Linked DNA regions of Ovis aries. The protein of the gene in region 2 interacts with the protein of the main gene of each other region in a pairwise test. Links are inferred from orthologs where the notes say so. Each region holds a gene or a part of one and is shown on either strand. Other genes may lie near its edges.

Region 1 (4,055 bases), on a different chromosome or scaffold from region 2:
GACTAAAAGGAACACAGAAGAGGAAAAAAGGATTACCAATCTAGCCCAGACATGGAAACAGGCAGGAAAAAGTGAGTTGAAGCAGAGAAATGATCACAGGTGATGAAGGATTCCGTTACCTATGGAGGGAAAAAAATCAGCTACCAGAATACACCTAGCAACAGTTGCTTTTCAACTATTCCTCAGACTGGAAGTTTCCAAGATTTAAGCCTTGAATGAGTCACAGAATTACCGGGCAGAACTAAGAGCCAAATAACTAATCTCCTAAAATAGAGAACAGAAACTTAATTTTCAACTGCCTTGAAGATTCTTTGTTGCTGGAAGGTGCATGGGTAATTGAAGGCAAGAGTACTTACACAGCTTGCCCTAATCATTCCGTTCATTTGTGGTCCCACTGGAATCCAGACCAGGGTTTTACACTGTTGGGTTTTTACTTTGTTTCATTTACACTTTTGCATTCTGCTGCTAAGTCGCTTCAGTCGTGTCTGACTCTGTGCGACCCCATAGACAGTAGCCTACCAGGCTCCCCAGTCCCTGGGATTCTCCAGGCAAGAATACTGGAGTGGGTTGCCATTTCCTTCTCCAATGCATGAAAGTGAAAATTGAAAGTGAAGTCGCTCAGTTGTGTCCAACTCCTAGCGACCCCATGGACTGCAGCCTACCAGGCTTCTCCGTCCATGGGATTTTCCAGGCAAGGGTACTGGAGTGGGGTGACGCTGCCTTCTCCCTTTTGCATTCTACCTCCCCTGAAAACGGAGAAGAAAAACACGTAGTGCATTTTCCAAATCTCCACTTTTGGAGAGCTTTAAGAGTTGCAACTGTCCAGATGAGGCAGTAGGGTGTGCACGGTGCCGCCCAGAAAATTCTATATAATAAAAAATCTGGGAGTTGGACAAAACAAAACATGGATTTTCAGTTTTAAGTGGGCGTGTCCACGTCACGAAGGGCGTGAAAGCAAAAGAGACTGAACAATCTAAGGGAAGGAGAAGGAACGTAGAGAACCATGGAATGTGAGTGCAGGGGATGGAAAAGGGATTCCAAGACACCAAAGGAGCAAGAAAAAGAGCAGAGTACGGATCATTGGTATCTGGCTGACATTCGCCCGGCGACCTGCCAAAACCGGGAGGCACGAGCGCGCACTACAACTACCATAAGGCCCCGCTTCCTGGAGCCCGAGGCGCGGCGCGCAACGCACGCCGGGAGTCGGCCCAAGCCGCCAAGATGTCGCAGCCCAAGAGAAGAAAGCTTGAGTCGGGGGGCGGCGGCGAAGGAGGGGAGGGAACTGAAGAGGAAGATGGCGGAGAGTTGGAGGTGGCTGTGCCGCGACCCCGGAGGACTAGGCGGGAGCGGGACCAGCTGTACTACCAGTGCTACTCGGACGTATCGGTCCACGAGGAGATGATTGCCGACCGCGTCCGCACCGATGCCTACCGCCTGGGCATCCTGCGGAACTGGGCAGCGCTGAGAGGCAAGACCGTGCTGGACGTGGGCGCGGGCACCGGCATCCTCAGCATCTTCTGTGCCCAGGCAGGGGCCCGGCGCGTGTACGCGGTGGAGGCCAGCGACATCTGGCAACAGGCCCGGGAAGTGGTGCGGCTCAACGGGCTGGAGGACCGGGTGCACGTCCTGCCGGGACCGGTGGAGACGGTGGAGTTGCCGGAGCAGGTGGATGCCATCGTGAGCGAGTGGATGGGCTGCGGACTTCTGCACGAGTCCATGCTGAGCTCTGTGCTCCACGCGCGGACCAAGTGGCTGAAGGAGGGCGGTCTTCTCCTGCCGGCTTCCGCCGAGCTCTTCGTGGCGCCCATCAGCGACCAGATGCTGGAGTTGCGCCTAAGCTTCTGGAGCCAGATGAAGCAACTCTACGGCGTGGACATGAGCTGCCTGGAGAGCTTCGCCACGCGCTGCCTCATGGGCCACTCAGAAATCGTGGTGCAAGGCCTCTCCGGCGAGGATGTGCTGGCCCGGCCGCAGTGCTTTGCTCGGCTAGAGCTGGCCCGCGCCGGCCTGGAGCAGGAGCTGGAGGCCGGGGTGGGCGGTCGCTTCCGCTTCAGCTGCTACGGCTCGGCTCCCTTGCACGGCTTTGCCATCTGGTTCCAGGTGACCTTCCCCGGAGGGGACTCGGAGAAACCCGTGGTGCTCTCCACCTCGCCTTTTCACCCCGTCACGCACTGGAAGCAGGCGCTCCTCTACCTGAACGAGCCGGTGCAAGTGGAGCAAGACACGGATGTTTCCGGAGAGATCACGCTGCTGCCCTCCCAGGACCACCACCGTCACCTGCGGGTGCTGTTGCGCTACAAAGTGGGCGACCAGGAGGAAAAGACCAAAGACTTTGCCATGGAGGACTGAGCGTGGTCTTCTCTCCCAGCTACCTCCCAAGGAAGCCAGGCACGGAAGAGGCGGAGGGTTGGTCGGCGGAGTAAAGGAGATTTCACGTGCAAGTAGGGAGCGTTATCTTCCGTCTCCCTTTACCCCAGGGCTCCTGGGGAGGGAGAGTGACTTCAGTCTCGCTTCGTGGAGATTCTTCTGGCGATATTTATTAAAAAGTGTTTTCGATCCCCTGACACGACCGAAACAGCGTGTTTATTAAGGGCCCGTTAAACCTCAAAAGCACGTGGTACCAAGCACTCCTTTTTCTATTTCTTTTGTTTCTTGTAAATTAAAGGGGGAAAAGGGTATGAAATTATCAGTTTGTGAAGGTTCCATTCACTTCCCTGACACCTCACACCCTAAGTCTAAAGCCAGGGAAAGGGAAAAAGGGTTTATAGTTAGACTCCATGTATTTCCAATAAGACGGGATATCACTCCAGAGCCATATTCTCTCATTTTCTGAATTCCCTCTCTTCCCAGGTGCCTCTAGACTACAGTATTTTGTCCTCTTTTTTTAATAAGTTTTACTACTGATAACGTGGGGGAGGTGAATGAGGGTAAAGTTTAAATAACACCTACTTCCTTAAGATGCTAAAGTTGATGACACCTTACTCCATTAAGTGAAATAAACTTCATTCGTACTAGTACAGCATACCTAAGAAATCTAGAAGGGTACGTGTTGGAGAAAAAGACCTGAAATACAGTAAAGTCGTATGGACTTTTTGTCTTTACTGTTAAGATTTAACCAAGAAAATTTCATGTAAGTTCCATAGTAAAAATTTTGTGTGCTTTATAACAAACTAGTAGAGGCGATTTCTTCTGAACTTGGTCCAAGGGTTTATTTATCACCTTGGGTAAATTATTTAAGTAAGGAAAATATTTTCCCAGCTCGAGAATTAAAATCCCTCATTCAGGGGGATCATGTGATTTGGCCTACTAACATCAAGTGAAAATGTTTTTGTTAGTGTTTTGTTTGTTTTCTGTTTATTTAGGTCAGCTAAATGTGAAAGTTGTGAATTTAGGAAAATCATTTGTAATGTGAGTTATGTTATCAAATTTATTTTACCCATGTTTCCCTCCTCATCTCTGGCAAATAAAGCACTGGCATTCTCTATTTTTATAGATGAAGTAAGAAGTCTTGTGTACTGTTTGAGTTATAACTTTTGCCTTTTTAGTATTGTTCTTAAAAATGGTGTTATAACCCCTACAGAGCATAGCTTAAGGATAATCAACTATGCTTAATGTATGGTTTCTTTACACTAGTAGCTTTAGTATGCTAATAGAAAGCAGGTGTGAAAATCTGATCTGAAGCAGCTCTGTTGCAACAGTTTTTTCTTCTTTATTCATCACTTATTAATATACTTAAATATAACTAATTTGCTAAAATTTGGTATCAACACATGAGATCTGCCATTAGTAAGGGAACTATACATGTACAAAATCATCAGCTTTACAAGATCCTTGACTTGCAATACATTTATAGTTGTCACCACTGTTGGTATTAGGATAGTTAGCTTATGCAAATGGTACAGTCATAGCAATTTAGGCCTGGTTTAAACTAGAGTTACAAATTGGTTCCTTATGTTAAAGTCAACTATATTTTATGTTGAACATTTATTAGCATTTTAGTGTACAGTTTTGAGTGAATTCCACTGTTTATTTTAACTTCGTACCACAATCTGTTT
Region 2 (3,561 bases):
GGAGCATCAAAACACCCTGCTCTGGCCACATAAAGACCTCCTGTCCAGTGAACAAACTCAGGAAACCAGGGACTGCCTCCTCTCTGCTTAGCCCTTAAAAGGGGGGCTGTCCCCACTTCCAGAGGAAGGGGAGGGTAGGAGGACCTGAGAGCTCAGAGGCAGACTGCTGGGATCACCCAGGGCTGCCATACCCAGAGGCCTCTGATCCAGCTCCGCGCACACCAGACAGAAGGCAGAGCGCCTGGAGGCCAGCACCCAGACCATGGGAAAGGAGAATGGCAGCCTGATGCAGGACTGGGTGGGTGTGGTGGCTCCCTTACCTCAGCACCATCCGGAACTGGTTGAACACCTCCTGGATCTGTCTGAGGTTGATTATCTGGAGAGGAGAGCAAGGCAGAGGTTAGACCAGGGGCACCACAGGACTAAGGCTGTGTCTGTAGAGAAATCAGGACCCCTTGACTAAGCCTTGGACCATGTGTCTCAAGAAGGGGACATGTACCAACACCCTCTCAGCAAAGTGCCAGTAAAGCCCTCCTCAAGAACAGAGAAACCCTTGATTAGTAATTTGGAAGCTATTTATTGAAGCTATTAAAAAAAAATCACCTTTTCTGACTGAAGATATATATAAAATTGAAATGACTCTAGTTCTTGAAGGTACTAAGAAAACATCTAAATAAAATTAACTGTCCTCAGCTCTCTCCTGCTTCCAAAAGGGTCCATTATGAACCATTCTGTGTGGGCCCAGACACATACACACACCTGTGGCTAAAGGGGAGACCATCGGCCTCTCTTGACCCCATTGCCCTCTAGCATTAGCCTTGACGGTCATTCTGGGGCTGCCCTTCCTAGAAAGACCAGAAGAGCCCTCAGCTGTCCCAGGCCTGCCTCTGGCAGCTGCTGACGATGACAGGCTGGACAAGGCTCTGGCCGTGAACCCCTGATGAGAGGCCTGCCAGCCTGTGCTCTGAAAACAGAATGCCTCTCTCCCCCTGAGAGCCTTCCCTTTGTGGCTACTCTATTCCTCCTTGGCCCACTCCAGCATGGGCCCTAGAGGGGTCCACCTTGTAGACAACCAGCATGACCATCATCCTTTAATGTCCCCCCTCTGCTGCCACAGACAAGCCCCTGAGGTGCTGCCTCTCAGTTCATCCCAGCCCGTTTCCCTCCCTACCGTACAGGTCAGACCACCAGAGTACACGAGCTTGAGCATTTTCATGATGCCACTCAGCAGGGAGACTGCTGAGCTCTGAGGTTCGACCCAGAGCAGCTTGGCTCTAGGAGCTGTACTGGTGGCCCCGTAATGGACCACCCCCACTGTATTCAAGGCTTGGACCACCTCCCCTGTGTTCAAGGCTGTGGGGCACCCACAGCCTTGCGACCCTAAACATGGATGCTGTGGCCTCAGTGGGCTGAAGGGCCCTGAGGCCAGGAGTCCAGCACCACCTACGCTATACCCACTGCACCCTCTCAGTGAGGTTCCCAGGCTAGCACAGCATACATCATGGTGTGGCCGGGAGACAGGCCCGGGCCAGCCAGACATGGGGGTCCTGAAGGGCTCCTTACGTCAATCTCTTCCAGTGTTCCCTCCAGGTACCTTCGCACCTGGGAGTTGATCTCCGCAATCTGGATTTCATCCATAGGGTCATAGTTCACGAGGGTACGGTTGGCCTTGGAGAAGGAAGAGGAACGTACTGTTAAGCTCCAAGCACCCGAGCCCAAGCAGGGTGGCAGGGACCATTCTGAGGACCAAAGTGGGGAGGCTGGGCAGAGAGCCTGGCTACCCAAGCCACTTTACTCCCTTCATCACCATGTCCTGGTAGGGAGGGCCTCACTCACAGGCCAGGTAGTCGGGTCAGCACGGGACAACCAGGTGGGGTAGGGAAGGAAAGGCTGCCAGACAAGGGCCTGCTCCTCCAATCTGGGGGGCTCTGCTGGCTGAGCCTCAGCAGACTGTGGGATGAGGGCCACAGGAGGGAGGGGGCGCCTCTGCCTTGAGACCCTCTGGACCATGAGCATGAGCTCAGACCAGCACTGGAGGTCTCCTGCTCCCCACCCCTACCTTCCAACTCCCTGCTGCCCCTAATAACCATCCAGCCTGTCCACCTCCCTGACCTTGAGCCGTCATCAGGCTGTCTGCCTCTGTACCCATACCTGCCAGGCCTGTGGCCCCTGCCCTTCATCCCCCTGCCTACTGCCTGGCTCTGCTCCCTGACCATCTGACAGCCCTGCCCACATCTTGTTCTTCCAGAGTCTCTGCCCAACAGGCATCCCTGATCCCCCAGGCCTTCTGCCCCCACAGTCTCTGTTCCCCCAGTCCCCTGTCTACTCAGCCCCTGGGCCCCCTGTCCACCCAGTCCCTCTGCTCACCCAGCCCACCCTCTGATCCACCCCTGCCCTGACCCACTGCCCCCTCCCACCTAGTCCTTCTGCCCACTTGGTACCCTGACCCCAGTCCCTCTAGTATTCCGCCCATCACCTCTAGCCCCTTACCAGGCTGTCATGGATGGCTAGTTCCTGCTTGAGCAGTGCTAGCTCCTTCTCCAGGTTCTTGACCATTCTCTGCCAGGGAAGCATATGGGGAGGCGGGGGTAGCAAGGAGGACAGTCAGAGAAGCCACTTAATAATTCCCCACCCTGTCCTTGGACATCCTGGCCCTTGCAGGCAATCTATGGAGTGTGATCTCAACATTTGGATGATTCCCTCCCAGCTGGTGACTTTTCCCCAACTGGGTGAGTTTAGGGTTTGAAGGGGTTTCAGCACTTCTCTGTCCTTTGCCTCTTACTTGCAGGGAAGACTGAGAACAGAGTCAGTATGGGCTCCACTAGGACCACCCTAAAGCCCAACTCCAGAAGCTCCAGCATACTTCAATCCACCACGGTCACTGCCCTCTCCATGCAGCCTGTGCCTCCAGGATGTCACCCTCATCCTCTCCAGCCACTACACAAAGCATCACCATTCCGCACTGACAGGTATGCCACCTCCATTTATTGCTGCTATAAACAATGCTGCAGAACACTTTGCTCTTACATCTTTGTGTAGGATAACAGTGACCTATGCGCTATGTCAGAGAAGGCGATGGCACCCCACTCCAGTACCCTTGCCTGGAAAATCCCATGGACGGAGGAGCCTGGTAGGCTGCAGTCCATGGGATCGCGAAGAGTCAGACATGACTGAATGACTTCACTTTCACTTTTCACTTTCATGCATTGCAGAAGGCAATGGCAACCCACTCCAGTGTTCTTGCCTGGAGAATCCCAGGGGCCGGGGAGCCTGGTGGCCTGCCGTCTATGGGGTTGCACAGAGTCGGACACGACTGAAGCGACTCAGCAGCAGCAGCAGCAATGCGCTGTGATCTGCCCCATTACTCCTTGTCTACGCTTCTGCCCCTGCTCATGCCACTCCCACCAAATGAGCACGCTCCTGCCTCTGTGCTGCCTGTCCCCTCTGCCTGGGACATGCTTCTCCCAGGTATTCGCATAGCTCACCTTCCTCAAGTCTCTGTTCAAACACTGCTAAATTAGGCACCCCTCAGTTACCCCATGTAAAACTGCAATCCCCTCC
Region 3 (4,286 bases), on a different chromosome or scaffold from region 2:
AACTGAACTGAACTGAACTGATTTCTTTCTTGCAACGAAGAGTTTATCACTAATCTGATGTGCTCTACTGAGGAACAAGTTTGTAGAACTCTTTTGCAAGTTTCAATTAAAGCTAAAAAAAAAAAAAAAAAACACCAAAATCTTTTCTATAACAATGCCCAGGTCTATCTAGGAGAATTATCAATGGGGATGCTAGTAAAATAGTCTGAGTACATTCAACATTCCTGATACCTAATGGTTTTCAAACACATTTTTAATGATCTGTGCAGAATGATGTGAGGAAATGGAACTAAATAGCAAAATAACTGGAGAGTAATATAGAAGTGATATTAAGAGATAGTTGTGTTTTGTATCCTATGAACTGTAGCCTGCCAAGATCCCCTGTCCATGAGATTGCCTAGGCAAGAATACTGGAGTGGGTTGTCATTTCCTTCTCCAGGGGATCTTCCCCACCTAGGGATCAAAACTGCATCCCCTGCATTGTAGGAACATTCTTTACCACTGTGCTCCTAAGGAAGCCCTTCTAGTAGAGAATATGGTCCTCAAAGCACATAATTAATTATGATGAAACCAAAGTAACAAACTTTGTCCAGTATAACTGAATATGACATGAGAGAAGTCCATCAAAGACTAAATATTTTGAAATTTTGAGTCTTGTTTGTTTTACTATATCACAGAACTTTTCAGTACTTTACTCCAACATAAGGAACTAGAAAACTAATTTATAAAATTGTTTCTATAGTAACAATGAAAATTCAGTGATTATAAAGATTTTAGCAAATACATAATCTGACGTCTGAACTCTGAATATTAGGGACATAAATATGTCAGAAGAAAGACTTGATCTACAATGAATTTTTGTATTTGAAAACACAAAATCTGCTATTCTTACTAGTTTTTTATTTTCTTTGAACTTAACCAAGAATTATTTTCTCTTATCTCAGCTTCTTGAGTTAGCCTCTTCAAAGAAAATGCAATGCTTGTGACCTGTAGAGGTTTAGAAAAGGTATCCCCGACTAAAATGAGTGCCTCAATAAAAGGAAAAATTCTGTACAGATCTCTTCCATTTGACGCTGCTAAACTTAAGTACAATAATGTCACATGTACTTATACAGTAATTGTGGGCACGCCTAAGTCCCTCCCTCTTTCCTAAACCAAATTCCCCAGATCCTAGAAATCCAGCCCTTCTGCCCTCCGGAGGCGCCTTTCCCAACGTAAAGTACAATTTAAAATTTAAGCTCCTGACTAAATAATGATTCCGTAGCCAACTGCTCGGGGATCTGGGCACCCCAGCGCCTCTGGAGCGTGCAGCGGGGTGTAGGGAAGGGCAGGGGGAGTGGGCGAAGCTGCTGGTTGGTGCCTGAAATCTGTGCGTTGCCCCTTTAATTGTGTCCCCAGCCCTCGGGCGTTTCTGTCCAACGCCCACGTCAGCAAATACCTTTTGTTTCTCTCACGTTGGGGCTACTTGTTTTGGGGCGCAAAGGAACGGCTTCGAAAGGGGGAATTTCCCCCGCCGAGAACCGGGAATCTTCCCCCCAGCCCGCGCGCGCGACCCGCCGTTGCGCCGCGGCCCGCGGTAAGTGGCTGCGCGCCGCGCGGGCGGAGGGCGGGCGGGGCGTCGGGGCAGCCTCGCACGGGCCCGCAAGCCTCGCTGCGGGCGGAGGCGCGGGCGAAGGCGCCGCGGGCTTTGCTCCCCGGGCGGTGGCGGCGGGATACGGCCCGGGCGCTGCGCCCCCAGACGTCCCCGGGCTGGGAGAGCGGCGGGAGGCGCAGAGGCGAGCGGGCGCCATTTGCAGCCCCGGGCGCAGCGGCGGTGGCGCGCCGGTCTGAGGGGCTGGAGACGGTCACAAAGGAGGCGCGGCCGGGCGGCCGGCGCCGAGAACCTGGCCTCGCTGCGGTGGCCGGCGAGGAGAGGCGGGCGGCGGCGGCGGGGCGCACCGGTTCCCGGACTGCGCGGCCGCCGCGCCCGCCCTGCCGCCCGGCCCTGTCCGCCTGCGCGCCCGGGAGGGGCTGCGGGACAATGGCCGCGCCGTCGCCGCCCGCGCCCGCCCGACCGCCCCCGCCGAGCGCCGCGCCCGCCTGGCCGCCCGGCCCGGCCCGGCCGTGGCGCGGGGAAAGGCGGGAAGGCGCGCGGAGCCTCCTGGCGGCGGTGGCGGGAAGGCGGCGCGGGGCCGGTGCCGGGCGTGTCTGGAGCCGTCGGGCGCCGCAGACTCCCGGAGGGTCGGCGGCCGGCGGGGCTCGGGCTGCGCGGCCAGTGATGGGTGGCCCGCCGGATGGGGCGGCCGAGGTCTGGGGCTTGTCACTTGCGGCCAGGAGTCCGAGTTTCTCCGTACATCTTCCATCCTTTGGTTTTATATCGTGACGCGACAGATCCGGGCTTAGAACCCAAGCAGACTTACTATACCTAACTAATATTGTGCTGTAATTACTGTTTTATGACGGACTCACACATACGCACCTTCTGCCCATGTAGACGGCATCTTTTGTAAGTTAATAGCGGTTTGGCACCTTCGCCTTCAAATGCGCTTATTTATTATTGATTGTGCCAGTAGCCAGGTTCTGTATCTTTCAAAGGCGGTTCCCCCCCGCCCCCGGCTTTCGTTTTTCTTTTAAAATTGAAATATAGTAGACATATAACCTTATGTTAGGCTTAGTACAAAATGCGTTTGCAAGCGGTAGATTCTCACCTATTGGGCTTTTAAACTACGCACATCAGTATTACTTCTGTTCTTAATAAGCCTCTATATTTGAAGAACTTTAGTAAATGGAGTGCTTTCGCCTATATGAATTATTTCACTTATTTTCGCATAAAACAACCATCTAGTCAGGCCGGTGGTTTTTCCACTTTCTAGGTGAGGAAACGCATTAAGCATTTAAACGTTAAGCCAGGAGGTGAACAGTGGCAGGCTTCCAGCGCCCTTGCCTCCTGTTCTTGCTCTTCATTTCCTCCTAAAGTCACCTCCATATTCTTTAAGTAAGCAAGTCATATCATTCCCATGCTCTAAAGCCCTTAACCGATCTTATCAGAAACAAGTCTAAAATCCTCAGCAGAATAAACCTTAGGCTCAAAACTTCCTCTCTAATCTTCCCCGAGTCTCAGATAAGGCTTGAATTTGTGGGACCCCTGGAGCAAGAGCCCTTCACTGAAGGGCTGTCAGGCAGAGTATAACCAGGAATCAGATACCTTTATTCCTGGTAGTGCCCCTGGCCACACAAATGGTAAATGGGAAGTGAGAATCTAACCTGCCACCCCCGGCCAAATGGGCATGTTTGGGTTAGGCTGTGAAATATTAGACCGGGGCATCCTGAGTACCTTGGCTTCTTTCAAGTCCTGAATTCCCCATGAAAGAGAGCAGCCTGCCAGAACTTATCTTGTGGCCTTGAAATCACCAGCTCTGCTGTTGATGATGATTTGAGCCCCCAAACTTTGTAAGATAGGGTAATACTTGATTCATCCTGTATCATTTAAATCTTATTTTCTAGATAAAATGGAATTTATGTCTAATAGGCTTAACCTTTTCAGTGACCTATCTGTTTATAATAAAGAATTTGGTGCGAGTGTTTTGATCCCCTTGAGGAAAGTTCCTGTCACTTTTTTGCTTAGAGTTGGTCAGTGGCTCCTCATCTTCAGTGGGTCCCCGTCTTACTCAGACCAAAAGCCCAAGGCCCTAAAGAGTCTACCAAGTCCACAGGAACTGGTCCCACGATGTCCTGTGAATGTCGCTCAGTTGTGTCCGACTCTTTGCAACCCCATGGACTATACAGTCCTTGAAATTTTCCAGGCCAGAATACTGGAGTGGGTAGCCTTTCCCTTCTCCAGGGGATCTTCCCAACCCAGGGACTGAACGCAGGTCTCCCGCATTACAGGGAGATTCTGTACCAGCTGAGCCACAAGGTGAGCCCCGGGATGTCCTACTGCCCCACAATCTATTGTTCCTTTCTGACTCCGTCTTTCCTTACTCTCCCCAGCCCTCCATTTTCTACATTTCTTTTAGCTCCCCGACTCGGGATCCAACCCATACCCCTTACATTGGGAGCACTGAGTCTTAACCACAGGAGTGCCCGGGAAGTCCTCCCCAGCTCTTGATGTTTCTCCAACCTCCTTGCCTGCTTCTCTTCAGAGCCTTTGCGTTTGTTGTTCCATCTGCCTGGAACACCCTTCCTCCAGATATCTGAATAACTCTCTTACCATCTTTGGACTTTACTTTAAATGCCATCGTCTCACTGACTTTCCTCAACTATGGTTTTTATTTTTTTAACATTTTTATATGTAATTCTGATTCCAA

The links.
Region 1: the proteins of KIF9 (region 2) and PRMT6 interact in a two-hybrid assay, tested with the Homo sapiens proteins (2 studies listed by BioGRID and IntAct). The link is inferred for Ovis aries from reciprocal best matches to the Homo sapiens genes KIF9 and PRMT6.
Region 3: the proteins of KIF9 (region 2) and ZBTB8A interact in binary tests that used the Homo sapiens proteins (3 or more experiments, as listed by UniProt). The two-hybrid records come from large-scale screens. The link is inferred for Ovis aries from reciprocal best matches to the Homo sapiens genes KIF9 and ZBTB8A.

What each region holds. Positions count from the first base shown.
Region 1 is NC_056054.1:84,387,574-84,391,628, forward strand, and holds PRMT6 (protein arginine N-methyltransferase 6), read left to right. Parts: upstream 1-1,198; 5' UTR 1,199-1,221; coding exon 1,222-2,349; 3' UTR 2,350-3,498; downstream 3,499-4,055. UniProt on the Homo sapiens protein: Arginine methyltransferase that can catalyze the formation of both omega-N monomethylarginine (MMA) and asymmetrical dimethylarginine (aDMA), with a strong preference for the formation of aDMA.
Region 2 is NC_056072.1:52,384,422-52,387,982, reverse strand, and holds part of KIF9 (kinesin-like protein KIF9), read right to left. Parts: intron 2,970-3,561; exon of another isoform or gene 2,789-2,969; intron 2,560-2,788; coding exon 2,491-2,559; intron 1,669-2,490; coding exon 1,564-1,668; intron 377-1,563; coding exon 321-376; intron 1-320. UniProt on the Homo sapiens protein: Essential for normal male fertility and for progressive motility of spermatozoa.
Region 3 is NC_056055.1:235,067,185-235,071,470, reverse strand, and holds the start of ZBTB8A (zinc finger and BTB domain-containing protein 8A), read left to right. Parts: upstream 1-1,429; 5' UTR 1,430-1,576; intron 1,577-4,286. UniProt on the Homo sapiens protein: May be involved in transcriptional regulation.